Xenopus tropicalis: one gene and its partners. The protein of the gene in region 1 binds, or shares a complex with, the protein of each later gene. Links are inferred from orthologs where the notes say so. Each region holds a gene or a part of one and is shown in the gene's direction. Other genes may lie near its edges.

Region 1 (3,848 bases):
GTATCCCCAGCAGGTAAGCCGGGGGGTATAGATAGTGAGGCCATTGGTAGAACCAGAAAGCACTATTCCAGTCTGCTGATTTTTTTTTTCTATCTTTCAGAAGCAACTTGGAGTCTCCAGAAATCAACAGCATGATCCTGAATGAGAAAGTGAGGATCCCCCCCACTGCCCCCTTCTTCTTCCCTATCACTAAGCTCCCAATACTGTTCCCAGACCTTTTCATTCTCCTCTCTAATAACCTTCCTGCCTCTCCTTACCCGTCTTCACTTATCTTCCTTTCCCAGCAGCCTCCATCCCTCCCTTCTTTACTCCAGAGGTGGGCCTAGCCCCCTGGGTGCCCTAGGCCACCTGGTCGGCCTCCTCACCCCCCCATATGTGCAACACGTGCACACTAAAGAGTGCACACATGAGCGTGTGTGGGGGAGCATTACAGTGGGGCCAAGAGAGTCCTGACTTAAGGTCCCCATACACAGGCCGATTGTAGCTGCCGATATCGGTCCCTTGGACTGATTCGGCAACTTATCGGCCCGTGTAGGGGCATAAACGAGGGGCATGCCTGACTAATATCTGGCCTGAAATCGGCCAAATATCGATCGGCCAGGTGCCCCCGAACCGACTGCCCCATTGCTGCCAATATATGGCCCTGGGGCCAAACGATCTAATTATTATTTTTTTTTTTTACCTACACGCTCCCCGATATCGCCCACCCATCTAGCCAAGCAAGCGAATCTCAACGTGTATGGGGACCTTAAGGGTAGGCAGAAGAAGTACCTGCCTAGCGCCCCCCCATCTCCATCATTTCCCATTAGTTCCGGCCCTGCTTTACTCTAACTCCCCCCACCAGCAAGCTGCAGTTCAACCAGCCCCCACTTACTTACATAAAACCCATTCCTAGTCATTATCTTCTCACCTCTAAATATCACCCTGATGAACTCTGCCCTGCTGCCTGCTCACTAGGGTAACTACCTATAGCCTTACACCACCCACCCATTTTATTGCCCAGTACAACCAGTACCCCAAACCTCTGTTTCTCCCTACATTTACTTCTAAACTCCTCCCCCCTAAACACCTTTATGGAAAGCCCTCATGCCTATTCCTCACTGTTTTGATTTTGTTTCCTTCATTGCTATTTCCTCTCAGGATAACTCCTTGCTCCTTGCTGGGGGGACATGCAACATTCATTCTATGGACTTGGAGAGTGGAACCTTTACGGTAAGTATGGGGGTGTGGCTTAGTATGAGTCTTGTGATTGGTGTCTGTTGCACGTGCTGCAGCCAATGGAAGCCTATGAGCTGAATGTGGCCCACAGGCCCTCCTGGCTCTCTCAGCTCCCTCAGGTCCTCACTGCTATTGTTCATGGATAGAAATGAACCTGAGAAGTCAGATTGGTCATCAGAATAATAAAACCATAAAATCTGCACTGTTGGTAGTTTTGCTTCCTGGACTTGAGGCTTATGTCATACGGGGTGTGGGGCTGACGTCTGTTGTTGTCTAAACACCCACACCCTGCAGCAGGTTCTTCCCATTGCCAAGTACCTTGAACCCATTCTATACACACACCTTAGGGCCAGAGGGCGGCAACTTGGGTGCCTATATATAAATACGTAGTGAAAGGGGGTTGTTCACCTTTAAAATAACTTTTAGTATGATGTACATGGTGATGTTCTAAGACATTTTGCAATTGGTCTTCATTTTTTATTATTTGTTGTTTTTTAAATATTTAGCGTTCTGTTCAGTAGCTCTCCAGTTTGGAAATTCAGCACATTGCTTAGGTCTAAATTACCTTAGCAACCAGGCATTGGTTTGAATGAGGGACTGGAATGTGAACATAGAGGGCCTGAATAGGCAAGGTAATAAAAAGTAACAACGTTTTAGCCTCACAAAACTATCCTGTATGGCTTCCGGGGTCAGTGACCCCCTTTTGAAAGCTGGAAAGAGTCAGAAAACGAAAGGAAATAACTCAGAAACTATACAAAATAAAAAGTGAAGACTAATTGCAAAGGTGCTAAGAATAGGCCATTCTGTAACATACCCCTTAGGATTAGTGACTTTACTAACCGGATGGCACATTTAAGGGATTGTTTAACTTTGGGTTAACTTTAGAGAGTGATATTTTGAGACAATTTGCAATTGGTCTTCATTTTTTATCATTGGTAGTTTTTTCATTATTTTACTTTTTGTTCCGCAGCTCTCCAGTTTGGAATTTCAGCAGTTCTCTGGTTGCTAGGGTCCAATTTACCTTAGTAACCAGGGGGTGGTTTGAGAGAGTGATATATGAATAGTAGAGGGGCTGAATAAAAAGATAAGTAATAAAAAGTAATAATAACAATAAAACTGGAGCCTCACAGAGCAATAGTTTTTGGCTGCCGGGGTCAGTGACCCCCATTTGAAAGCTGGAAAGAGTCAGAAGAGGAAGGCAAATAGTTCAAAACTATACAAAATAAAAAGTGAAGACTAATTGCAAAGGTGCTAAGAATATGCCATTCTGTAACATACCCCTTAGGATTAGTGACTTTACTAACCGGATGGCACATTTACCTTTGGGTTAACGTTAGTATGATGTAGAGAGTGATATTTTGAGACAATTTGCAATTGGTCTTCATTTTTTATTATTTGTAGTTTTTTCATTATTTTACTTTTTGTTCCGCAGCTCCCCAGGTTAGAATTTCAGCAGTTCTCTGGTTGCTAGGGTCCAATTGACCTTAGTAACCAGGTAGTGGTTTGAGAGAGTGACTGATATATGAATAGTAGAGGGGCTGAATAAAAAGATAAGTAATAATAACAATAAAACTGGAGCCTCACAGAGCAAAAGTTTTTTGCCGGGGTCAGTGACCCCCATTTGAAAGCTGAACAGAGGAAGAAGTAGAAGGCAAATAATTCAAAAACTATAAAAGATAAAAAAAATGAAGACCAATTGGAAAGTTGCTTAGAACATATTGGTAAACCACCCCTTTAAATTTAATGTTGAAGAAGTTTTTTTTTTGGTTGCTAGGGGCAGTGACCCTGACAACCAAATAGCTTTTTTTAATTGCATGCCATCAAGAGACAGAATAGGAAGGCTATTCATTTAAAAACCATATTAGGTCCATGAAAAAGTTCCTTTTCTAATCGGCAAAGTTTCTGTAAAGGCAAAGTTCCCCTTTAACCGTCTCATTGGTCTGTAGATGGCGCTGGAAGGACACGAGGATTATATTCACTGCTTGGCCCTGCGTGAGCAGCAGAGGGAGTGCGTGTCCGGCGGCGAAGATGGAACTGTCAGGATATGGGGTGAGAGTGTGAATGGAGTATCATAGTATTTATTGATATTGTCTAAATCATCCTCTTCCTCCTCCTTCTCCTCCTCCTCATCATCATCTCTTCTTGCAGATCTTCGAAATGGGGCTCAGACTCACAAGATTGAAGTCTATAAATATGAGGTAACACTGAGAAATATGAGGTTCCCACTGCACTATCCCTATAAAGACGATTTGGGTGGAATTAAAGGGCAAGTCAACCCAAAATTCCTTATAAAAGAAAACAAAATTCTAAGCAACTTTGCAGTATACATTCATTATACATATGTAGTGGTTTTCTGTTATTTGTATATATGTAATTTCTATTAGAAGCAGTGTGTGTCTGGCCTTTTCGATTCCCCGGCATATGAAACAATGTTACACGAGGCAGCAGCCTGACAGACCTGTCTTTCTGGAGGAGCCAGACCTTTGCAACATTGTTTAAAAAGTAACACCCAGGAGTTCAGCAAATGCTGCTTTAAGTAGCAATTACATTTACACATAACTTTTAAAGTTGGAATTTAATTGAAAAGTTGCTTAGAATCATGTTTTCTTTTATTAGGCACACAATTATTT
Region 2 (3,848 bases), on another chromosome or scaffold:
CATTTATCTTTAAAGAACGTTTTTGTGTTGTTCATGTGGTTCCTGTGTACTACAATCTGATTGTATCCAATTGAGAGAAAAGTGCATTGTATTTCTTACTGTGAAATCTTTTTTTAATCACACTGCATTTTCTGGCCTAAATCTGCCCCTTGTGTGCAGTGATAGCTGGATCGCATTCATTCCTGTCATTTTACACATACAGGTGTAGGTTACATTTGTCGTGCCATTAGCCTAAGTTGCTGGATTCTTCTTTGTCTTGGCAACTTCTTCTATTCTATTCTTCTGTTCTATCTCCTAGTGGTAAAAGCTATACCTAATCATTATTGGGATTTGTCATTTTTATCCTGTCGCATTTTAAACACAATAGCACTTGATTGCACTTGTATTTTATTTTTATATAAAAACCATGCATGCACGCTGTCAGGTTTTGCCACTCCTAACTGTTTTGTTCATTTAGTCAATAGGAGGATCAGCAAGCTAGTTACTAATGAGATATTCTTACCATTTAGTGAAAAGGAGAATCAACAAACTAATTACTTAACTACAGTTGGTTGAACTTGGCTCTAGATGTTTTTTTCCCAAAGGTAGATAGTTTTGTTTTAGTTTGTAGTTTTTTAGTAGGCATTTTCAGCAGTGTTCAGAATATACTACCAGCTTTGATGCAATCCTGTTAAAGCACTATTCACACGAAAGGTTGGTAATTTAAGCATAGGATGACCTTTGGGAAAAAAAAAAAAAAAAAAATCAATTTTTTTTATTTGTTAAATTTTAGAAGCGACGACGCCCAACACTTGGAGTTCAGTTAGATGACAAGAGGAAGGAAATGCTTAAAAGGCATCCTCTTTGTGTCACCCTAACATTGAAGTGCAAAGGTAAGCCATAGTTGAGAAAAAAAAAAACTTTTTGAATGGCATGATCAGTGATTTCAGTGTTTTTTATAGTTGCAAATTTTTAATTAATCTTTACAGAAGGAAGCACTCTGAATCTGACTTTTTACTTTCTCATGAACCTCAACATCCTGACCGTAAAAGTCAAAATTCAGCCAGCTTTAGAACTCTCTACTGCCATTTCTGCTGGGTAAGACACGCACAGTATTCCACCACCATAAGTACAGTTAGAGACAGGTATAGGGTTGGAGACTGAAAACTTGCAAAAAAAAAAAATCTAGTGGCACTCTGAAAATAGTTGCAATATGAAAAAAGTTTTATTTAGCCCACATAGGTCAAGCGACGTTTGGGCCCAACTGGGCCCTTTATCGAGCCTTTGACTATGTTGCTTGACCATTATGTATAAAGTAAAACTTTTTTTACATAGCAACTATTTGCCGCTGGATTTCTTTTTTTGCAAATTTGTACAAGGTGTTCCAGTGTAAGCACCTGAATTAATGAGTGTACAATGGGTTGAGCCTCTCTATTTGCAGCTGATGACTAAAAACTTGGTCAGAAAATAACCTGTGAAAACTTTACCTCTGTTGTTAAACAATGTCTAGGAAGGAAGCAAGTAAGTTCTAATCTGCCTTTTAAAACTTTAAACAATGAGGAGCCAACTTTTACCAAGAATGTAATATAGCCAGTATAGATGAGAATAGGTGAGAAATTCAACATGTAGAGACAGTTGTGCTCATATTTTGTCTCTCTTTACCTCCTTACAAGTGACCTACTGAATCCAGATTTGATCCTTAGTTGTTTATACCAAGGGGATGATGGAAAGACCACTCCAAATCCAGCAAACAGATACCAGTTTGATAAAATCGGGTATGTTCTGCATTTTATTACTGCCGTGAGATAAAGTGAAAATCAATGTCGTTAACAACAACATTTCTAGAGTTTGGAGTGAGATGGTAGAGTGGGGTTCAGCTCCTGTCTGCATTAACTGGACTCTGGAAACTAACCTGAACTACTTTCTGGGCTCTACTACCTTTATAGACCTGATTAAACAAATAAGAACACCAGGGAACTGTGCTTTTCAAATGTATGTAAAATGTATTAAAATTTATGTAAAAAGTTATATAAGTTAACTTTTTTTCAGTTCAGGGTGGCACAGGGAATACTTGGTTAAGCTCCACCCCTCAGGAGGTAGGACACCAACTTTCACAGTTTGTATTTCACCCTGATTTTGCTGGGGCTGCTGTGTTAAGTCCCCAGATGTTCCTTATGTCCCCCTGAGATGACAAAGAAAATAGGATTTTTGATACTGTTAAATATGTTTCTCTGTAGTGAGACACGGGGCTTTCTACTGACCACATTGGTTCTTCTGTTGGAATTTTCCTCTGTTACCTAGTTCTGCCTTGTTTCCATTTTACACATTACATCAGTACATACTGATTGGATTGTGTGTAGTAAGAGGTAATTCCCCAACCCTAAAGTGGTGTGGGGAAATAGTCTTCCTGTTTAACAGTAGTGGTTTTCTTTCAGTCTGTGGAATAATAACCTCCCCTGGCTACCTGCTGCTCACCAGGCTTTATAGTATCCTATAAAGTACTTGGTTATCTATGAAACTAAAACTTTTATATTAATGGTGGTGTCGGTTGTACAGTCTGCTTTTTGTCATGATAAACTGCAAGTCTAGTTTTAGGTAATAAATGGAGGCTGCATGCCAGACAGGTGAAATAATATATTTATATTTTGTTTGCAGAATCTTGTCCCTTAATGACTATATATCTGAACTGGGACACCCATATATATGGGTCCAAACAATGGGAGGACTTCATTTTCCAACGGATCAGCCGCAGGTAAAAAAATAAGCAGACTTCATCTTTTAATTTCAGCTGCTTTGCCTTTCTTTTGGGCAGCTGTTCCTAGATCATAAAGATTTCCTATACAGTGTAACAACTGCATTCCAAAAGACTGCAAAATCAGATGTATGGCAATGAGAAACCTTGACATTTTGCATTAAAATCCTTTATCAAGGGGATTATAGTGTTTTTGAAATCTGCATCAATAACTATAACTTCTAAAGTTATCCATTTTTATAGTGTACCTAAATACACATGCTTATACTAACAATTCCCTAGAGTTCTCTCATACCAACATTTATCTCTGCCATTTTCTCTACAGCCTGCAGTCATAGCAGACAATGCTCTCAGTGCTAGTCACATGGAGAAGACTATTAACTTGCTGAGAGCCAGATTGCTTTCACGCTTGTCTTTGCACCGGCAGTTTGCCTCCTTGGGTAAGTACTTTTTTTATTTATTTTATTTTTTTTTAAGTCTTAGCTCAGTTTTTCCATTTGCTTAAGTATAATTGGGATATGTGTTCAGTTGCATGAAAACAGTATAGAAACAAATAGCACTGATGTCCCTGAATCTCCTTTGTAGCTTCCACACAACGTATTCTGCCTTAGCTGCTGGCATTGGTGGGCATATTAGGTTACAGGGACACCAATATAGGACAAGATGTAGTGATGTGTTAACTGGCAAAACCAGAAGTTGGAGGAGATACAAAGTATATTTAGGGTATACTAAATGGTGAATGGGTGGGATTGTGAGGGGTTTACATTGTATAAAACTATTATTTTACTGGATGTGTATGTAGGATTTCTTTAATAGTGTACACAGCAGGTGTTTACAGGCAATAGATCCCAATGACAGCATTTCTTTGGTATTTCAGAACATGGTAGCATTCCTGTATCTTTGGAGTGCCAAACTCTTTTCCCAGCCAAGGTTATATCTCGACTGACAAAGTGGAATGTCATCACCTATGAGGATTATCTAGTGAGTAAAATCTTTTCACTTTATAAACTGACATGATTCTTGAGCAGATGGCCATTTTGGGGATTTGCATTGGATTGCAATTACTCCATAAAGTTCTCTAAAAATATGAGGTGAACCTGGTACTAAAAGTTAGATT
Region 3 (3,848 bases), on another chromosome or scaffold:
CTCACTGGTCTTAAAGTTTTGACAGCCCTGCACTAGATCAGCATGTTAAGTTTTTGTAAACCAAGCCTGGCATACACTCACACCCATGCAGGAAGTCTGGCGGTAGGACCCAGCTTGCAAGGGAGTATATTTCTAACCAGTTATAAACTTTGTTAAACCTTTTAAAAATGTAGTTTGTTTTTTCCTGATGTGCATCTTACTTTAGAATTCCAGTTATGGTTAAATTAAAGTGGGGGATGTTTATGGACTATCTTGGATATGCCAAGAGCTACAAGAGATTCATGGTAATAACTACATTTGCATGTTTCTGTCCACAAGATGGCACTCTGTACCTACTGACTAAAGAAAGGTATAGGCTTAAGAAATGGTCTTTTCTGTCATTGTTATAACCAGTTAGTATACAGATAAGTGAGAAGTCATTGGTTAAAAAGTTGTTTTTTTTTAATAAATAAAAAAAGAGCTTCTGCATCATCCTAAACAACTGCCAATTCCTCTTCATCTTGCAAGCTTTGGTAAAAGATCGTATAGCTGCAGGAGCTTTTATCCCCTATTACTATAACCTTTGTAAATTTTCCCTTTTGGCTAGTTTAAAGTGTACCATCAAATGTAATGAGAAGTCACAGAAAATAGGACCCTTTCTGTATTTACCTTTGTTGGGGATATAAAGGTTTCCCATCAGCCAGTACCCCTTGGATGTACACAGACTGTTCAAAGACTTATCAGATCAGCATCCTTTATTCAGACTGCAGCGCAAATGTTTTTCTTACCCTGAAAATACTTTCTTTTCAGCAGACAAGAGTTTTGGAATCATTTTCTGAGCATACGGTTATTTCCCTTAACTCACCCCCTTCTTTTGTTAAATATCTAGGTGAAGCAGTCAGTACATGCCCAGATTTGGTCAGGTGGCTTGACTGATATCAACTATACTGCACAAATATAAGGGAATGTATGTAACTTGGACTGGGGGATATTTTTACAGACAGTTGAACTAAAGTTCCAGTGTACCTTGTCAGTGTGTCAATGGGGCATTACAGATCAAGTGACAGGAGGCGCCTTGTCCGTCAGTTTTGCCAATCTGTTGTATAACTTTAAGCTTAGAAAGTATGACTGCCAAATGGCACCGCCTCTTTATTGTGATTGTGAACCCCAGGACAGGAGGAAACCTAGTTTAATAATGTATATAGTGTAAAGTAAATCTTATTATGCTCAGCTACATGATGGATAAGGACTTAAAATTATTTTTTAGGGTGATGTCCTCTTTAAAGCCACATTCAATCTGCAGCCTACCAGATGGTGCCATGCTGCAACTCCCAGCATCCTCAAGGCTGATGACAGGATGTTGAAAATTATAGTTTAGAAACATATGGAAAGCTGCAGCTTGCCATGCCTGTATAAGGGTGCCAGAAGTACCATATTGGATATGCATCTATTGTAGTGCCACAGCGTTGGTGGTCCCACAGTAAAATAGTATTGCCTGGACTGATTGTCTTTTGACCTTTAGTTAAACTATCTGAACTTGATCCCAAAGAAAATAGCACATATAAAATTCCTTTTGATGAGTCTTAAAACATATACTAGGTATTTACTTCACTGGGGTGAGTAGAATAGCACGTCCTGTCTTCTGACCTCATTGTGCTTCCTGTGAAAGTTGTTAAATCTTTTACTGTCCCATGGGAAAGGCTGCTTCCAGGATTTGGGAACAAAAGCCTCGTAACGTTCCCCCTGAGCAAGAAACTCTTCCTTTATGGGGGTGTTACGACCCACACTTTATGGGAGAGGGCTTTATAATAGCTGACACCACTTCACTTTCTTTTTCTTTTCCTTTTAGTGCCTGGGAACTTCCTAGGAAGAAAATGTGCTTTTATGCCCTTTTCCAGCTCACACGTGTAGTTTTTCTTTTGTAATCTACTGTCCACTTTATTTGTATTTAACACACTTGTTTGCCTCTGAGGCAGTAATACTTGCCTTATAAACACTTTGATATTGATGTTTTGCTTTCTCAAATCTGGCTTCGTTGCTATGTTTTGGAGCTAAGGTTTACTACATGCATGTCAACTTTATTTGTCTATTTCAGCTATAAAGAGAGGTTTAGTCAATCAGTGGCTTTACATCCAAGACTTATCTTTTCCAAAAAATATATATAGACAATGTGTTTTGTAGGAAAGATGGATCTTTCGATACAAAGACACCATTTTGTCTTATCAGTGCTTTGACCTGCTGCTATTCATATATTTTTTAATTCCAACAGAAATGCAGAAAAGAAGCTGGTGAAAATTTCCAGCAGTGCTTCTGAAACTGATGTAAGTAAAATCTGTGTACATCTTCTTTGTGATGCTTACCTGTATATGTTAAATATGCCAAGTGCTGCCTGTATGGCTAGCACTTATTGAGCTCCCTCTGCCCTGAATGTGACCAAGTGTTAGATTCACAACACAGTTCTTGTTTTTAATAGAGTTTTCTGCACAGTGGAGGAATTTACAGTGCAGCTGTGTTATACACAGGTTGGACAGATAACCCAGTTAGTAAGTAGCACACAACTGCTACAGATTTGTCTGTGGTAATCCCTCCATAGTTTTAATATAAAGGGCGGTGGTATATAGGTTGAGTGTCATACAATACATTTCTCTGTCAGCAGACAAAGTGCTGATACTATGTAGTGCTATTTTACACTGGCAGAAACAACAAGGTATGTATGTCTGCTTTTTCCAAGCCTGATATTTATTACCTTAAACGTCTGAGCTTATTGATTAATAGTTGTCTGTAGCACCAACTGTTTTGGACGTAACCATTAACAAATGTTCTGCTTTTACAGAAGCTTCAAAAAAGAGCTGAGAGGTTCAATGTTCCTGCCAGTGTGGACAGCAAAAAAGCAGCTCGAGCCATCCGGTAAGCATTGAAATACTGATTTAAACAAAGGTTACCATGTTATTATTGTTACTCTATTCCTCATCTTTCTGTTCAGGCCCAAGTAAAAAAAAAAAAAAAAATATGGATACCAGTTGCAAATCACGTTTGAATGTCCAGTGTCAACATCATACTAAAAGTTAAAGATGAACATCCCCTTTAAGTAGAAAAAATGCTAACATTTCACATCTGTTAGAGTGGATGTGAAATATTAAAATTCTAAACTGAAATAGGTCTCGTATATCTTTTTTTCTTACACTTAATTTTTTTTTTTTAAAGGTTTGGCCTTTCAACCTCAGACAAGAAAGGTAAGAAAACTGGGTGTTCTGTATGATTAAACCATTTCTTGGGCAAAATAATGTGAGAATATGTAGTAGATTCTTGTATACTTGTTTCTGATTGGCTGCATTTATTATTTTTTTACCTATTCAAAGTGAAATGCCTTCCTTCAGGCTAATTATACAAGTTCTTAAAAATCTTTTAGAAATCATATCATCATTGAAGTGTTCAAAAAAAGTGTATATTGAAGATACCAGACATACTGTTTACAGAGAACGCAGTGTTTGTAGCATAAAAACAGTGTTACCCTTCCACCTCATTACATTTTCTATTTACAGAAGGGAAACATCATTAACTGACCAATGCACGACTTGGCTCTGCAACATTGCCAACATTTAGTTTTTGTACATTTAAGGAAACCTAATCCTTAGACACTTTACATTCTGGTTTGGTCCGGGCAACCCTGATTGTGCTTTTGGTGGGGATTGCTTGGTAATGAAAATAAGACCTTATAATTCCTGCTTGATAGTGCTTGTGTCTGCCATTGCAAAAAATATGGAAAGCGGTGGCTGCAAGGTGGGCAGCAAAGAGCCCAAAGAGTATTAAAGTTTAAAACAAAAAGAAAACTTTTTTTACTTTGGTACCTGTACTGCATTTGGCCTCTG
Region 4 (3,848 bases), on another chromosome or scaffold:
CTATCTTGCTCATCGTGTATCTGGGTACATTCACTTCTCATTCTAGTACATGTTACAAAAGCGCATATACTACATATACAGTATACACACTAAACTAAAGATTAGTAATTAGTAAAATACATCTAAATGGATGAATCCTCTTAGCTGGCCCATTCCGTTGAATATGAGTAATTCTGTGTGTACATTTAGAGGTGTCATGGTGATGCATGTTTCTCAATTTTCTTTTGTCAGAAAAAATCAAGGAGAAATCTCAGAGTGCTCTAAAAGTTGTTACTAAAGCTGCCAGCACAGCACCAAAGGTGACTGCAAGCAATGGGAACAGCGCTTCTTCTAGGTACATATTATATTGCTGTTAAACTTCTAAGCACAGAGCTGTTAGGGGCTGTTGCACAACTATGCTGTGTTAGTCATATTAGAATCTATCATGAAGTAGCTTATATGTTTTCTTTAGTGTCCCTTTAATGAGAAATTGCCCTGACCCCATGTCATGCTGAGATTACTGTATTAATGCTTAATTAGAGTGTAAGTTAAGGGGGGAAATGAAACGGGAGGACAGTTTGTTGCTTTCTTGGAAAGACCAGCTACTCTTGGGATTCGTGAAATGGATAAAGGAATTAGTTATTGTTTCAGGTTTAAGTGTTACAGAATTTAGGAGATTTTGCATTAAAATCCAAACTATTTCCATGCAGCAAAGTGCTTAAAGAAAAAGAAGACAAAGATAAAACTGGGAAAGAAAAGGAGAAAGACAAACGAGAGAAAACACCAGTAGCACCTCTTGAGACCAAGGCACCAGGAAAGGAGGCAAAAGAAAAAGCCAAGGAAGACCGTTCGAGCAAAGATGAAAAGTTGCGTGATGCCAAGGAGAAGACTCCCAAAGCTGACAAAGAAAAGGAGAAGGCCAAGAAGGAAGAAAAGTCTCAGAAGGAAGACAAATCGAAGGCAGTTCTCATGAGCAACGAGTCCAAAGTCCCTTCAGAAAAGGAGAGAGAGAAGGAGCTCTCCAGAGAGAAAGAGGCATTGAAAGAAGTCAAATCCAAGGAAAATTCCAAATCCGGAGATAAAGCAGCTGTATCTGGGTCCTTGAAGTCTCCTGTTCCCCGTACAGACATGACCGAAACTGAGAGGGGTAAGTTTTCAAGGAGGGCTAGTTAAATGTTGGCCTATTATTAGTCGATTAGGAAGTGAATGTAGGTTGGACAGTTTTCCAGGAAGGAGGATACCTACAACACACAGCAGTTTTTTTAAAATAGGTTCTGTGGAAGAAAATGACAAAAGTGTAGAAAGTGCACTTGTTAGGTTCTATATATCTGTTGCCTATCCAGGCCACCCTATTATACTTTGTAAAGCTTATCGATGTCTTGGTCTATTGTAGAAAGATAGCCTTGTTAGAGGAGCCCTAGAACAGGATAGGATGAGTTTGAAAGGACAGGAAAAGAATGATTTCTCAAATTGCATGTTTTGTTTTTTTTGGTGTAATTTACATTTATTTTAACAGCTCCCCCCCCCCCCCCCTTTTTTTCCCCCAGAACAAAAACGACGCAAAATTGATACACATTCTTCTCCATCACATTCCTCAGCAGTAAAGGTTAGTATAGCATGAGGAAGGCTGTATCCATAATAGGCTAACCTGTGTGGAGTTCCAGCATCCATCTTCCTTCGAGTTTGGTGCCAAATGTCCAATGGAAGTCTCTGGAAGTGTTTTTGTTTTTGTTTTTTTCAGTTAATTACATTTTTATGTTGGTATTTTGAATCATGAAATCACAGTAAAAAGTTTTTTGCCCAGTATGGACTATTTTTCTAATTGCATCATTTTTCTATAAAATAAAAAAAAAAAAAAAATCTTCAAGGACCTAGCAGCATTATTTTTGTATATAGCTGAAAAATGAAATTTTGTTCAAGACCGATTTGGTGGAGAAGTGCCTGAATATTTATTTGTAAGCAGTTCGTTTTTTTTATTGGCTTTGAGAAAGTGTGCTAACGACAAGCAGTCCTCCTTTGAGCGGAGTCAAGCATATTGTTATATATATATATTTTTCAACACTTAATATTGAAGAATCCATTGCACTGAAGATATCCTGAGATGTTGCAGAAATGCACGAAATACCACACGAAATCGTCAGGCATCTTGAGCTTCACTGCCGATATGTGCCTTCTAAGAAGGAATCCTGAAAGAGTTCCATTTAAAAAGTCTGATGCTCTGTTCTATAGTTGTGTAATTTGGAAGCGCATTCAGCTTTAGTTCCTCCCCTGGAAGTGTAATTCTGTCCTGTTGTGTTGGTCCGTACACTGCGTTAAAACCAGATGTGGCAGTTACCTAATACTACTCTCCAATCTGAGACAAAAACCTCTGGCATCCAAGCAACAAATGTCCGTTGGCGGCTTTGAAGACTAATGGTAGCTAAATCCATGCACCTTTTTTATTTTTTCCCCCTATTTTTGTGATTCTAAGCCAGCTGTTTCCATGGGATCTGTGAGATCTTTTATTTTGAACCATTCAAACTGTAAGTCCCAACAATATTTCCGGGAGAAACCATTCTGATGGCCATGATGTGATGTCTAAATTCCAAATTCTGGATTCCAGTACCTTCCCCCCCCCCTTCTCTTTCATTTTCCTCTCCCTTGGGGTAAGGTAATATGGCTGGTAGAAAATTACATTTTAGTTATACATAATGTTTCTAAAAGGTTACTTTTTCTGTATATTTTTCTGTTTTTTGGCCTTTAACATTTGGGATTTCTTATATGAAGAAAAAAAAACCTTGCAAAGTGCTTTCAATAGGCCCATGTTTTTATTTTGGCCACTGGTTTGTCAGACCAGTGCTAAATGGCTTTGACTCTTTGGGTAAATTATACACATCCAAGCCATGAAGCCATAGGCTAATTGGTCAGATTTTCCAAAAGGCAGCCTATGCCGGTATTTCTTAAGTGGGTGGGAATAATATTTGTGTCATTACTGTCACAAATATATGATTTTTGTTTCTCAATAGAGTTGAAATAGGTGCAAAAAGTATTATATTTTTACTTTGTAGTTCCAAATATTGGGGGGAGGCGTGGGCAATGAGATTAAATGGAGTGAAGCTCATATCTACAGGAACAGGACACTGTAAATAAGGCTTGTAATTGGTTTGTATAGCACTCCACCCCTTAGCTCTGTTGCTTTTGGTCAAATTAAGTAACAACCCCTTCAAGTGAAATGATCCTGTAGTGCAGTGATCCCCAACCACTGGCTTGGGGGGCAACATGTCACCAACCCCTTGGATGTTGCTCTTGTTGCCCCCAAACCAGGTAGTTATTTTTGAATTCCTGACTTGGTGGCAAGTTTTGGTTGAATAAAAACAAGATTTACTACCAAATACAGCCTCCTGTAAGCTGATAGTGTTTGGCACCTCCATGAACTTTTATGATGCTTGTGTTGCTCTCCAAGTCTTTTTACATTTGACTGTGGCTCACAAGTAAGAAAGGTTAGGGACTGTAGTGTATGACCATCTGTACACTATTACTCCTCCAGCCTTATTGCAGTGTCCTGTCAAGAGTATATCCCAAGCTCCCTCTAGGGACATTTTTACATTAACCCCTTTGTCAAGCTGAACCTATAATGCTTGCTTGGGTTTATTCAAAGAGCATTATAGAAGTTTATGTAGAGTTGTACATGCTTCTCAGTTATTTCTACTTTTTATAAATAAAAACATTTATAGCCCCATTTCCTATTTTTTACGGTTTCATTAGTTTTTTGTTGTTGCTAAATCCATTAGTAAATGCTTCTATTTTTGTTTACTCATTAATGTGTCCCTTATTCGTATATTGTCAAACTATTTTCTTTCCAATGCCCTGGGCAGTTCTTAGGTTCTGAT
Region 5 (3,848 bases), on another chromosome or scaffold:
CGGACATTTAAACAAAATGAATGCGTTTTGAGAGAGTTATAATTTACGTATGTGTGAAAAGTCCTTTGTAACAAACATTTGGTGTACACTGGTTTCCAGCCGTTTCCAAGAGATTAAAGAATTTGGCCCATTTATAGAACAATGCTTAGAAAATAATTCTATTTTATCTTTTCAGTACATAGTAATGCAAAAGAGCATAATCTTATGCCAAAAAGTGCTGTTCAAGGTCTGTTGCGTTGCACATACTGTACCTCATCTGCCTAAAGACCCTCTTACGTGACATTTTCAGATTGTGTGTTGCGTGGCCATTTCTAAATTGTATATAAGAATACCCACAGTGAATGCATTATCCCTCTTTAAATTTATAAAGTATCTCGCTGCCAAATGCAACTCTAAATCACATTGCTGTGTAGGATGGTCTGTGTTGCCAAAAGGCTCAACTTTGGCTTGGGAGTGGTCTTCACACAATGGCAGGTGCACTTTAATCTTAGTGGCTCTTATTCTAAACCTGAATCAAACATGGAACAGTAACAATGTATTTGTATCTAAGGTTTATAATAAGTAGGGAAAGTATTAAGGGCTCGCTGAGAATAGGCTTGATAGTGTATAGATTTAAGGTATAGAGCTTTTCTTACATTGTCTATTTTGTATTTCAGTTCCAATTATATTCTTCTAGATGAACAGTCTCTTTGGATTGAGGACACCACCAAGCTTGTCCATCAGGTGTGTGTAACTATAGAGTATTACTGTTTTTATGAGTCATTTCCTACCTGAAAACCAGATGTGATTCATTTCTCTCCCATCATACAGCTGCTTTCTGAAACACCTCCAGTTGGGGAAAAGTTTTCTAAAACAGTGGAGGTAAGATTATAATTTCAGCCTTCTGATCTGGTGAATAGCTATACAGTATTATAACTGATCTAACGGAATCAGAAATGTTGTTTCAGCATATACTGAATACTGAAGAAAACTGGAACGCATGGAAAAACGAAGGCTGTCCAAGTTTTGTAAAGGAAAGGTAAGGCATTTTTTTTATTTTCCAACTTTTTATAAGTTTTTACAATACATGTAAACCATAATACTTACACGGCTTACTTTATCAGTATCTGCAAAGAGAAAAGTAAAACATTGTAACTTAACAAATAGAAATGTCACACACATAACTATAGTTATAGTATTGACACCAGAAATATTCTTCCATATTTTTTTGAGCTTCCTGTATGAATGTTCTTTCCTAAATATTTATTGGAATTGCCATTTCATATACTACATTACTGCTAATTTCTCTCATCAGCTGGGAAATGTTTGGAACCTCCTGTTTTTTCCAATTTCTAGCAATTAAAAGTCTGACTGTATTTGATAATTGAAAAATTACTATTTCCAGAGCTTTGTTAGGAATTTTGTCATAAATGTTAAATAGCACCACTTCCGGAGATAAAACAAAATCTTGTGAGATGAAATTCGATATTAGAGAAAATGCTGAAGTCCAGAGGGATTGGATAGTAGAACAGGACCACCATAATGCGCAACATTTCTCCTATTTCATTGTTACACCTCCGACAAGTTAATACTCTTTTAAAAAATCTTTACTCCAACCTTTTAAGACCCGTTTTCAGAATGGGTTCCAAAATAGAAATTGGTGCCAATGGAGAAGGAAAAGGAGAGTATAATGGATCAATTATGCTTTTTCTCAAATTTTGACTGCAACTTTCAATGTAGGAGGCAAATCTATGTAATTATTCTTAACACCTTTACCATCTGACCATAGTAGTTTATCCCATGAAAATAGTTTCAGAAGAGTAGTTTCAATTTCTACCCATTTTTTTTGTGACTGTATGGATAAATAAGTCTATAGTTTGTATATTGGCTTTGAAGTATTTCTTTAGATCTGGAGCTCCAAGACCTGCTTTATTTCTTTGAAGAATAGATTTGGATACGCTAGGATACTCTTTCTTATTCCAGATAAATTGGTAAAACACATTAGTAATCTTACAAAAAAAAACAAACTGGAGGGGATTGAAATAAGGATAGTACAAAACAAATATAGTAGTTTAGGTAACAACAGCATTTTTATAGCAGCAATTCTTCCCATCCAAGAAATAAATAAGGGCTTCTATGTAATTATTTAATCTTTAAAAGCTTGAATCAATGGCCCAATTTTTCTGGATGTTTTGTTAATTTTATACCCAGGTAAAATGTATAATCTTTCCGCCAGTGAAATTTAAACTGACGTTTTAATGGAGATTGATCTTTAAGTGGTATGTTAAACATCATAGCTTGAGATTTATTCTCATTTATTTTATAGTAAGAAATGTCTCCAAATTCTTGTAATATTTGTTTAAATTTGGATAATCTCTCTTTAGGATTAGATAGTACTATAATAATGTCATAGACATAGTGTATAAACCTATATGATGATTTTTAGAGCCGATTCGTATTGTATGTATTAAATCTATAAATGATTATCTTTAGAGACTTGTGAATTGTATGTATTAAATCTATAAATCTAGTATTATCAGTGGATTGCCTGCCTTTAATAAAACCCACTTGGTCACTATTCAAGACCTCAGTTAGAATATCTTGGAACCCATTTGAAAAAAATTTTGAATAAAATTTTAAATCACAGTTTAGTAAAGAAATTGGTCTCTTTGGTATCTTTGTTGGGTCTTTCCCCTCTTTTGGTCTATCCGTTATTGTAGCCTGTAGTATTTCATCCGGAAAATGGCCTCCTGATAGTATAGTATTAAACAATTCTGTTCATTTTAGGACTAGTAATTTTGCAAATAACTTGTAATATAATACTGGTAAACCATCTGGTCCAGGCTTTTTTTTTAAAGGAGAAGTTTTTATGGCATCTTCTACTTCTTGTTGAGAAATCGTGAATTCAAGATATTTATTTGATCTGCAGTTCAAATATCAGAAATTAATCTATGCTTTGAGGATTGGGTTGAATCATTGTATTATCCTCTTTTAAATTATAGGTAGGTAATATTGAGCAAACGCTTCTGCAATATCTAAGGGGTTAGATATAATTTTACCATTATCCCTCTTATTTTAGATTTAACTTTAGCTTTTGTGGGCACACCATTGAGTATTCATAGAAGTATCATTAGATGAATTAAGTTCAAAATATTCTTGTAGACATTTAGAATAAAACTCTCTTTTAAATTACTCAATAAAGCCTCATTTAGTCTTCATATACTTGTTGGAATATTTTTTGTGGGTTCATTAATATTTCTGAGCGTGATCTGACCACGTTATAGTACCTATGGCAGCTTTCTTTAAGCCTTGGAGCAGTATTTTATCTACGTAAAAAAAAATCATTTTTGAATACATATCGTGAGGATGAAAGTAAAATGTATAATCCCTAGTTTTAGGATTAAAAATCCTCCAAACATATAAATTATGATGGAGTTTAATCTTAGTGAAACCGGTAACTTTTTCTTTTATTCTACCCTTTGTAGATTTTTGAGGTTGGAATTTATTAGAAGTAGAGGTAGTATCTAAATTAAGATCTAATATTAAATTAAAATCTCCACCTATTACAGTAAACACACTTTTGTTTGGTAATTTTATTAAAAAGAGGGGTTAAGAAATTAATTTGGGATGAGATAGGGGCATAAAGATTGCATTATTCAGCTTACAAATCAAATACCTTCCCCCAGGGTCAGACTCTATGGGGCAGATTTATCAAAGTTTGATTTTCGTACCTTTAAAAAGCACGATACAAAAAAATTGTATTAAATACGATTTTTTCGTATTGTGCTTTTTAAAGTGCGAAAAAATCGTATATGCTTCATTGCACTATTAAGTGCTGTTAACTTCAGTGGAGTGCAAACTTTCTTTGA
Region 6 (3,848 bases), on another chromosome or scaffold:
ACGTAACATACAAGGGATTGTGGGAATTGGAGAGGACAGCTGAATACTGCTACACTGTTTTAATAATATTTGTAGTTGGGAAAAGGACAGAAATTACTTCCAATAGCAATTAGATATACTGTTCAAATAATTTGCATGTACAGGGAAACCTTAATGGGGATTCAGGTTTGTTAGGCACCTCCCAGTTAACTAAAATGTAACATTTTTCCCTGGCTGTTGTGCATCTTCTTTTGAAAGTGCACCCAAGGTACTTGACTAGGATCATTGGATAACTAGCCAAAAACTTGACAACTTGCTTTAGTCATCTGTTCAGATGAATGCTATAGCCCTATCTGAACTATGCATTCAGTTCTATACTTCTTATGTTGTGTTGTCTTCTTATGTTGTGATCCATAAATCAGAAAATAGATCCTGACTACTGTAATGTCATCACTAAGCACTGTTAGTCTATTAAGTGACCTACTCTGAATGCTCGCTAAATGCTCAGTGGGTGCACAAGCTGCCTTCTTACCCATCTCTGACAGGTTAACACAGGTCCTGAATTTGAAAAGTAAAGTATATATGTACAGTCTGGACTGCAGAGCTTGTCTGCCACATTACTTCTAATTTTTAGCTCTGATGTTGGCTTAAAGCAATTGGGCTACCATCCATGGGGCAAGTTGAGTACTTTGTCTTAGGCGACAGTGAACTGCAAGTTCCAGGGGCAGCAAAAAGCCACTCTTGGTGTCTTTAAGAGACAGAATTCTGGTTATTAAACTAAATTTTGGCTCTTTTAGTGCAGAGAGCTTGATTATGCCCTTAGTGATGCAGCCCATCTTTCACCCTCTCCAATGCAGAACCGCCCCTGAAAGCAATTAAGTTGCACTTTAACTAAAGTTTGATCTTGACAGATTCTTCAACTTGCATGTAAAATATTGTTGAAAAAAAAATTACCTGTCCTTAATTACCAATCTGAAGTTGGATCAATACATAGTATCTTGAATAGTAATTGTGTTTTTGTTGTGCTTTTATGTACAGCCAGTACCAACGCATGCTGAGCTCCTTGTCTCAATGTGAATTTTCCATGGGAAAAACACTTCTAGTGCATGATATGAATCTGCGGGAAATGGAAAACTATGAAAAAATATATGTTGATATAGGTAAGGCATTTTACCAGTTTAAATAAAATTTAAGTAAAATATGGCAGTTTGTTGTTTTAGCATTTTTTCCTGGTTTGGCTTTTCACGCAAAGTGAAAAATTGCGCCTTGGCTCTGGAAGGTACTCTTGTGTGTTTAATGTCATTAAGCTTTTCTAAATTGCTGTCTTAAAGATGTGATACCTGCTACAGGCCAGCCATTTATTGGCTCAAAATTTAAACAAACCATTCAAAAGCATACTATACCAAACAGTGGAAAGGTACATCCCAGTGCCTCATGGTGCCCACTCCTAACGCATTTCGCACCATTGGGTGCTTCATCAGAGGACAATGACTTGGCTGAGAGCCTCTTTAGCCTAATATGGGATCATAACTATTTTATTTCCCCTCACACTGTATGGAGGTTTGTAAGCACTCCAGGGACCCAGCTTTCCGACCTCCCCACTCCAATACCTCTCCTTCAGCGAGGAAAAAGCGGAGCCTTATTGGTAGGAACTGTCACCAATATATAAACCTGCTAAAAAATGTTTATATATTACGATATGCTGATGCTGTAAGTCTCACAAGTCACACATTTCCTCCTACTGATTGATTCTAGCAGTGCACTACAGACATACAACATGGTTGGGTTGTTTGCAGCAGGAAAGCTTCTTCTTCCGGGTAATAGTTTCCTACCACACTCTAAAATATCCAGACTTCAGTAATCATGTGTTTTTTTAAAAAAAAAATTTCAATTAAAAAACAGTAGGCTGAATATACATTTTAATACATTATTGTTGATATTGCTAAGCTTTGCTGACATCTTTACTAAACTTTCTAAACGCTCAGTTGACATAATTTCACCATTCAAAATATATCTTTTCTTGCATGTTCCAGAGAGTAGTATTGCTGCAGCACATGAGAAAATTGCAGAATGCAAAAAACAGATCTTGCAAGCCAAGCGAATCCGAAAGAATCGCCAAGGTAACATAAATAAATAAAGAACTAAAATTATTTAAATGAGGCTGGCTTATTTTGTTGTAAGTGAAATAAACCCCTACTGTGTCTGTTATGCACAGATTCTGATAGACACTACTGGTACAGGTATGGGACCTGTTATCCAGAATGCTCAGGACCAAGGGTTTTCCGCACAAGGGATCTTTCTGTAATTTGGATCTCCATAACTTAAGTCTGCTAAAAATCAAATAAATATTGAATAAACCCAATAGGATTGTTCTGCCCCCAATAAGGGGTAATTATATCTTAGTTGGGATCAAGTACAGGTACTGTTTTATTATTACAGAGAAAAGGGAATCATTTAACCATTAAATAAACCCAATAGGGCTGTTCTGCCCCAATAAGGGGTAATTATATCTTAGTTGGGATCAAGTACAGATACTGTTTTATTATTACAGAGAAAAGGGAATCATTTAACCATTAAATAAACCCAATAGGGCTGTTCTGCCCCAATAAGGGGTAATTATATCTTAGTTGGGATCAAGTACAGATACTGTTTTATTATTACAGAGAAAAGGGAATCATTTAACCATTAAATAAACCCAATAGGGCTGTTCTGCCCCCAATAAGGGGTAATTATATCTTAGTTGGGATCAAGTACAGGTACTGTTTTATTATTACAGAGAAAAGGGAATCATTTAACCATTAAATAAACCTAATAGGGCTGTTCTGCCCCAATAAGGGGTACACTAACACCAAAAAATGAAAATGTATCAAAGTAATTAGAATACAATGTACTATCGCCCTGCAATGGCAAAAGTTATGTGTTTGCTTCTGAAACACTACTGTAGTTTATACAAATAATGCTACTGTGTAGCAGAGGGGTAGCTATCCATATTGAAATAGGGCTAAATGGCACAAGGTTACACTGCAGATACAGCTCTGTAAAACACTATTGTATTCTACAAAGCTTACAGCATGAAGCAACATTAATAGCCCTGTATAAACACTGCAGGAAATTAGTTGATGTCTAAACATTGTGATGGTCAAGGTATGATAAGTATCTCCAAAAGGGGCATACATAGAAATATGTTAGCTTTAACCTACAGGTTTTCAACAGCAATCTTGCAATTTTTTATCCCCTTTTTAATTGTACTTAATATAAAAAAAAAAGTTTTAAAAAAAAAAAATCATTGTCATTTTGTTTACCAGAATATGATGCATTGGCCAAAGTTATTCAGCAACATCCAGACAGGCACGAAACCCTAAAGTAAGTACTCTACCCGTTGTATTTGCATGCACGCCCCTGAAAAATTAAAGGGAAATAAATATATATATAATTTTTATTTTTCTTCAGTTTTAAAGCAGTTGAATGTGAAGCAACAGCTCCACCTGCTGATCCTTTGGCTGCCAGACACAATTGGCAGAAAATTGAGTTAATGAGAAGGGGAAAGTTTTTTTTGATGTTGCTCTGCTCAGAAAATGAAGTTATCAAGAAGTGCCATCTGACATTTCTATGGCCAGTTCTAAGCAGAACAACATCACAAGACTTTCCTCTTCTCACTAACTTTTGCCAACTGTTCCCTGTTCAGCTAAAGTGACCAGCAGGTGATCCTGTTTTGTCAATGAATAATTTAAAAACTAGTAATATATTTAATTGAAAAAATAAGTGTTTCATTTCCATTAAGGAGATGTTTTTCAAATGATTTTGAAAATATATATGGATCTGTTCCTAATAATGATTTCCATTGAATGAGACAGCTATTATAAGTTCAT
Region 7 (4,639 bases), on another chromosome or scaffold:
GAATTTGCTACCCAGTCCAGGTGACCTTGCCAGGTTTTTCTGTAAACTACCATGTCCTCCAGATAGGCAGCAGCATAACCCGTATGAGGGCCCAACTCCTTACCTATGAGCCTTTGGAAGGTAGCAGGGGCTCCATGTAGGCCACATGGCATCATGTTAATTTGTTATAATCCATAGTGGGTTACAAAGAAGTTTTGAGTTTGGAATTTTCCACAAGGGGAATCTGCCAATAGTCTAAGGTAGATATATATACACTGCCTCCCCCAAGGAGTCCATTCGCTTATCCACTCAGGGCATTGAACTTGCACAGGTCTATACAAAACCTTATTGGCCCATATGGCTTAGGGACCAGGACTATGGAGCTATGCCAGTCACTATTAGACTTTTGAGGGGTGAGATCTGACTTTCACCCCTGGGTCTCTTCCTACTTTATATGTCTTACCAGGGAGTTCCGAGAACACGTCTGTAAACATAATTTCTCTGGCCACTGTGAGTTGCTGGCCCACGGGTACCTGGGGGCTTCTTGCTCCTTTACCAGTGGGACGATTTTGCCCCAACACACAGGTTCCACAGGGGAGGGCGCTGGTATTAGTGAGGGATAGAAGGGCAAATCCATTCCCGGTAAGGGGATTCCCCACTTGTAAATGGGACAATGCCATAGTGCTCGGTTACCTGCCCCCCCCCCCCACAACTGATTACCCAGAGTTCCACATTGACATGAAGAATTAAGGACAGGGTGTTGTTTATGGACGGCCAGGTACCATCTGGAAATATCCGCTTAATACCGGGTCCCAGCTTGGATACACATTCCTATTGGTTTTTGCTGTCTGCTCTCTGCTTCAAGACAACATAAGTGACTTTATTACATTCTTGGGAATGAGACCGGCTTCTAACAAAGACATTAGTGTGTGCTGCCTAACGGAGACATTCATGAGAAATGGTCCATTATATTAGTGTGGAACATGGGAGTTCAGTCCAGTACCATCAGTGGGTTCTGCTAGGCCTGTCCAGTTGATATGTAAGACCAGCGGCTGTGAAAATAAGACATTATAGAATTAAGTCTAAAAACAACTGGACTTTTCTGAGTTTACATTTCACCACTCATCTGAGTGGCTTCTTCAGAACTGAAGAAGCCACTGGGATGAGTGGTGAAATGTTTTCAAGAAAAAAACTCAGAAAAGTCCAGTTGCTTTAGACTTAATTCTGCTAGATACTGTATATCATGGCCTGGATGAATGGGAATGTTCATAGACACATTAATGCTGCCATTAAGCAGCACATGTAACACAGTTCAGTTCAGGACCTGTACCTCAGAAACAACAAAGTTTTGTTTTTTAGCTAATAATAACGTCAGATATAGTTTAGCAACCCCTACATTCTGAGATTCTGCAATGTAAAGAGCGCAATTGCTGAAAATGAAACTAGTCAGTTATGTAGGTGAGTGTTTTGCGTGCCCATCCCAAGATGGCGGCGACCTCTCGTTGATTTGTAGCGCATTTCCCTTCCCAAGATGGACACCCATCCCGGGCAGGTATCCATAGTAACCATCCACTAAGAGGCTCGGAAGGGGCGGGGAATGGAGATACGTGGCTCGACGCATTAAAGCCGCCTCCATTTTGCCGGCGTAGGGTCAGTGTTAGGCGCCATTTTGTGCTGTGTGTCGGGAGTAGAGCGATAGGCAGGGAGAGTCAGTGCTACCGTAGCCCTCTTGCTTTTATTTGGGGGGATCCCGTCCGTTAGCCAAGCGCACCCCGGACTCCAGAGCCGCTCGGTGAGTGTGAGGGGAGGGGGTACCGGGCTCGGTGCTGGGGTATGAATGGGGGGCCGGGGGTAACTGCTTCCCACGCCCCTGGGCATAGAGGCCTGGGGGGCTGAGAGGTATAGTTCTGTTTATGGGACTGATTCTGGGGGGGCAGGGTACTAAAGGGCTTTGGGGGGCTGGGAGGGGGGGCCAGGGTACTAAAGGGCTTTGGGGGGCAGGGTACTAAAGGGCTTTGGGGGGGGGCAGGGTACTAAAGGGCTTTGGGGGGGGCAGGGTACTAAAGGGCTTTGGGGGCAGGGGTACTAAAGGGCTTTGGGGGGGGGCAGGGTATAAAGGGCTTTGGGGGGGCAGGGTACTAAAGGGCTTGGGGGGCAGGGTACTAAAGGGCTTTGGGGGGGGGCAGGGTACTAAAGGGCTTTGGGGGCAGGTCTAAGCTTTGGGGGGGCAGGGTACTAAGGGCTTTGGGGGGGGGGCAGGGTACTAAAGGGCTTTGGGGGGGGCAGGGTACTAAAGGGCTTTGGGGGGGGCAGGGTACTAAAGGGCTTTGGGGGGGGGGCAGGGGTACTAAAGGGCTTTGGGGGGGGGGCAGGGTACTAAAGGGCTTTGGGGGGGGGCAGGGTACTAAAGGGCTTTGGGGGGGGCAGGGTACTAAAGGGCTTTTGGGGGGGGGCAGGGTACTAAAGGGCTTTGGGGGGGGGGCAGGGTACTAAAGGGCTTTGGGGGGGGGCAGGGTACTAAAAGGGCTTGGGGGGGCCAGGGTACTAAAGGGCTTTGGGGGGGGGGCAGGGTACTAAAGGGCTTGGGGGGGGGCCAGGGTACTAAGGGCTTTGGGGGGGGGCAGGGTACTAAAGGGCTTTGGGGGGGGGGCAGGGTACTAAAGGGCTTGGGGGGGGGCAGGGTACTAAAGGGCTTTGGGGGGGGGGCAGGGTACTAAAGGGCTTTGTGGGGGGGGCAGGGTACTAAAGGGCTTTGGGGGGGTGGGCAGGGTACTAAAGGGCTTTGGGGGGGGGGAGGGTCCTAGCCGCTTTTGGGGGGCAGGGTACTAAAGGGCTTTGGGGGGGGGGCAGGGTACTAAAGGGCTTTGGGGGGGGGGCAGGGTACTAAAGGGCTTCTGGGGGGGGGGGGGCAGGGTACTAAGGGGCTTTGGGGGGGGGGGCAAGGGTTTTAAAGGCTTGGTTGGAGAGGGTTAGTCTTTGGGGGGGATTGGGGGGGCAGGGTACTAAAGGGCTTTGGGGGGCTGAGCAGGTATAGTTCTGTTTATGGGACAGTGATTCTGGGGGGGCAGGGTACTAAGGGCTTTGGGGGGCTGAGAGGTATAGTTCTGTTTATGGGACAGTGATTCTGGGGGGGCGCAGGGTACTAAAGGGCTTTGGGGGCTGAGAGGTATAGTTCTGTTTATGGGACAGTGATTCTGGGGGGGCAGGGTACTAAAGGGCTTTGGGGGGCTGAGAGGTATAGGTTCTGTTTATGGGACAGTGATTCTGGGGGGGGCAGGGTACTAAAGGGCTTTGGGGGGCTGAGAGGTATAGTTCTGTTTATGGGACAGTGATTCTGGGGGGGGCAGGGTACTAAAGGGCTTTGGGGGGCTGAGAGGTATAGTTCTGTTTATGGGACAGTGGTTCTGGGGGGGGGGCAGGGTACTAAAGGGCTTTGGGGGGCTGAGAGGTATAGTTCTGTTTATGGGACAGTGGTTCTGGGGGGGGCAGGGTACTAAAGGGCTTTGGGGGGCTGAGAGGTATAGTTCTGTTTATGGGACAGTGGTTCGGGGGGGGGCAGGGTTGGGTCGGTACCAGTGCTGCTCATGTCCTACACTCCCTGTTTAGAGTAAAGGGGACTGTGTGTTACAAACACGTGACTAACTTTGCTGTGTCCCTTGCAGGTTTGCCAGACTTCAAGATGGCCGCCCCGTCTGCATCTAAAGTTGTGCTAAAGAGTACCACAAAGCTGTCGCTGAATGAGCGGTGAGGAAGCCCCACAGGCCGGGCAGCTGCTATAGCATATGTAGCCCGTGTCTCACACTGCCTCACATGGGCATGCCTCGCCCCGTGCCCACCCCCCCTTAAACACAAAAGTGGGCGCCCGCTGCTGCGGCAGCTGTACCACAGGGGGCCGGGCCTGTGTGTGAGATTGTCACTAGCAGTTGGTAAAGTATAATCAGGCAATGTGATACACTCACTCCCCCCCTTCTCTTCCACACGTATGTACATGGGTCAGAATCTCAGCTGCGGCCTGGTAGCATGTTACCTGCGCTGCGTTACACCCGCTGCCGTGCCCGGGGGGCGACACATGCCCGCGTGTGGTCGCTCCTGTAAGAGGCATGATTCGGGGGTCTCTCTCCCTGCCCAGAGGCCCTTTAACCTCGTTCTAGGGTCTTGTAAGAGGCAACCGCTTTGCTCAGTCCATTCCCTGCATGTGTCTGCTCTTGCACCCCCTCATTTCTTGGGGTCCCCCTGGGGTTTAACCATCCCATTCATGCCTTCCTGTTCCATCTGTACCCCTCTCGTGCCATGGTCTTTCCCGTAACTGGTGCAGTTGGTATTAAAGGGGAAGTTCACCTTTGAGTTAACTTTTAGTATGATGTAGAGAGTAAATTGCAATTGGTCTTCGTTTTTTTTTTTTTTCACTTTTTGTTCAGCAATGCTCTAGTTTGGAATTTCAGCAGTTATCTGGTTGCTAGGGTTCAAATTACCTTAGCAACCAGGTAGTGCTATATAGGTAGGAGAGGACTTAAATAGAAAAAATAAGTAACCGCTGCAATAAAATAGTAGCCTTGCAGAGCAGTCGTTTTTTGGCCGCCAGTCCCCTACTGCTCTGCAAGGCTACACTTTTATTGTTGTTGTTACTTACAATTACCCCCCATTTGAAAACGAGTTGGAA

Evidence for each region.
Region 2: the proteins of thoc6 (region 1) and thoc5 are in contact, whole or in part, in a cryo-EM structure (PDB 7APK), measured with the Homo sapiens proteins. The link is inferred for Xenopus tropicalis from reciprocal best matches to the Homo sapiens genes THOC6 and THOC5. Residues at the interface, in NP_001334633.1 of Homo sapiens: Val5, Pro6, Ala8, Val9, Pro10, Leu11, Gly12, Gln13, Val16, Phe17, Leu20, Gln21, Leu23, His24, Met25, Thr26, Phe28, Tyr45, Tyr80, Asp94, Glu125, Val126, Pro127, Glu128, Asn130, Gly146, Tyr170, His172, Glu188, Trp222; in NP_001002877.1 of Homo sapiens: Pro406, Gly407, Asp538, Ile539, Val540, Asp541, Ala542, Gly543, Leu544, Ser575, Ile576, Ser593, Asp596, Arg599, Glu602, Gly603, Asn606, Val607, Tyr609, Arg660, Phe662, Arg663, Gly664, Pro665, Ser666, Arg667.
Region 3: thoc6 (region 1) and sarnp share a complex: the UniProt entries of both Homo sapiens proteins name them as parts of the transcription/export (TREX) complex. The link is inferred for Xenopus tropicalis from reciprocal best matches to the Homo sapiens genes THOC6 and SARNP.
Region 4: thoc6 (region 1) and thoc2 share a complex: the UniProt entries of both Homo sapiens proteins name them as parts of the transcription/export (TREX) complex. The link is inferred for Xenopus tropicalis from reciprocal best matches to the Homo sapiens genes THOC6 and THOC2.
Region 5: the proteins of thoc6 (region 1) and thoc1 are in contact, whole or in part, in a cryo-EM structure (PDB 7APK), measured with the Homo sapiens proteins. The link is inferred for Xenopus tropicalis from reciprocal best matches to the Homo sapiens genes THOC6 and THOC1. Residues at the interface, in NP_001334633.1 of Homo sapiens: Leu57, Ser58, Ser59, Glu60, Pro312, Glu313, Lys315, Thr330, Asn331, Gly333, Tyr334, Ala336; in NP_005122.2 of Homo sapiens: Ser227, Pro229, Ile230, Asp231, Tyr232, Leu234, Arg236, Val270, Ser273, Tyr274, Asp309, Leu312.
Region 6: the proteins of thoc6 (region 1) and thoc7 are in contact, whole or in part, in a cryo-EM structure (PDB 7APK), measured with the Homo sapiens proteins. The link is inferred for Xenopus tropicalis from reciprocal best matches to the Homo sapiens genes THOC6 and THOC7. Residues at the interface, in NP_001334633.1 of Homo sapiens: Asp229, Trp232, His245, Thr252, Gln268, Asp269, Gln284, Leu285, Ser286; in NP_079351.2 of Homo sapiens: Lys110, Arg113, Lys114, Gln117, Glu118, Ala121, Leu122, Val125.
Region 7: thoc6 (region 1) and chtop share a complex: the UniProt entries of both Homo sapiens proteins name them as parts of the transcription/export (TREX) complex. The link is inferred for Xenopus tropicalis from reciprocal best matches to the Homo sapiens genes THOC6 and CHTOP.

Annotation. Positions count from the first base shown.
Region 1 is NC_030685.2:12,483,115-12,486,962, reverse strand, and holds part of thoc6 (THO complex subunit 6 homolog), read left to right. Parts: coding exon 1-13; intron 14-100; coding exon 101-149; intron 150-1,140; coding exon 1,141-1,212; intron 1,213-3,164; coding exon 3,165-3,267; intron 3,268-3,366; coding exon 3,367-3,416; intron 3,417-3,848. UniProt on the Homo sapiens protein: Component of the THO subcomplex of the TREX complex which is thought to couple mRNA transcription, processing and nuclear export, and which specifically associates with spliced mRNA and not with unspliced pre-mRNA.
Region 2 is NC_030677.2:144,830,046-144,833,893, forward strand, and holds part of thoc5 (THO complex subunit 5 homolog), read left to right. Parts: intron 1-772; coding exon 773-872; intron 873-968; coding exon 969-1,077; intron 1,078-1,652; coding exon 1,653-1,754; intron 1,755-2,634; coding exon 2,635-2,731; intron 2,732-3,056; coding exon 3,057-3,171; intron 3,172-3,608; coding exon 3,609-3,712; intron 3,713-3,848. UniProt on the Homo sapiens protein: Component of the THO subcomplex of the TREX complex which is thought to couple mRNA transcription, processing and nuclear export, and which specifically associates with spliced mRNA and not with unspliced pre-mRNA.
Region 3 is NC_030678.2:138,198,965-138,202,812, reverse strand, and holds part of sarnp (SAP domain-containing ribonucleoprotein), read left to right. Parts: intron 1-2,248; coding exon 2,249-2,300; intron 2,301-2,812; coding exon 2,813-2,886; intron 2,887-3,183; coding exon 3,184-3,212; intron 3,213-3,848. UniProt on the Homo sapiens protein: Binds both single-stranded and double-stranded DNA with higher affinity for the single-stranded form. Specifically binds to scaffold/matrix attachment region DNA. Also binds single-stranded RNA. Enhances RNA unwinding activity of DDX39A.
Region 4 is NC_030684.2:48,806,805-48,810,652, reverse strand, and holds part of thoc2 (THO complex subunit 2), read left to right. Parts: intron 1-231; coding exon 232-334; intron 335-689; coding exon 690-1,126; intron 1,127-1,526; coding exon 1,527-1,585; intron 1,586-3,848. UniProt on the Homo sapiens protein: Component of the THO subcomplex of the TREX complex which is thought to couple mRNA transcription, processing and nuclear export, and which specifically associates with spliced mRNA and not with unspliced pre-mRNA.
Region 5 is NC_030682.2:108,273,170-108,277,017, forward strand, and holds part of thoc1 (THO complex subunit 1), read left to right. Parts: intron 1-656; coding exon 657-723; intron 724-810; coding exon 811-861; intron 862-947; coding exon 948-1,018; intron 1,019-3,848. UniProt on the Homo sapiens protein: Component of the THO subcomplex of the TREX complex which is thought to couple mRNA transcription, processing and nuclear export, and which specifically associates with spliced mRNA and not with unspliced pre-mRNA.
Region 6 is NC_030680.2:145,037,529-145,041,376, forward strand, and holds part of thoc7 (THO complex subunit 7 homolog), read left to right. Parts: intron 1-1,017; coding exon 1,018-1,139; intron 1,140-2,012; coding exon 2,013-2,099; intron 2,100-3,284; coding exon 3,285-3,342; intron 3,343-3,848. UniProt on the Homo sapiens protein: Component of the THO subcomplex of the TREX complex which is thought to couple mRNA transcription, processing and nuclear export, and which specifically associates with spliced mRNA and not with unspliced pre-mRNA.
Region 7 is NC_030684.2:144,107,768-144,112,406, forward strand, and holds the start of chtop (chromatin target of PRMT1 protein), read left to right. Parts: upstream 1-1,661; 5' UTR 1,662-1,771; intron 1,772-3,641; 5' UTR 3,642-3,658; coding exon 3,659-3,723; intron 3,724-4,639. UniProt on the Homo sapiens protein: Plays an important role in the ligand-dependent activation of estrogen receptor target genes. May play a role in the silencing of fetal globin genes.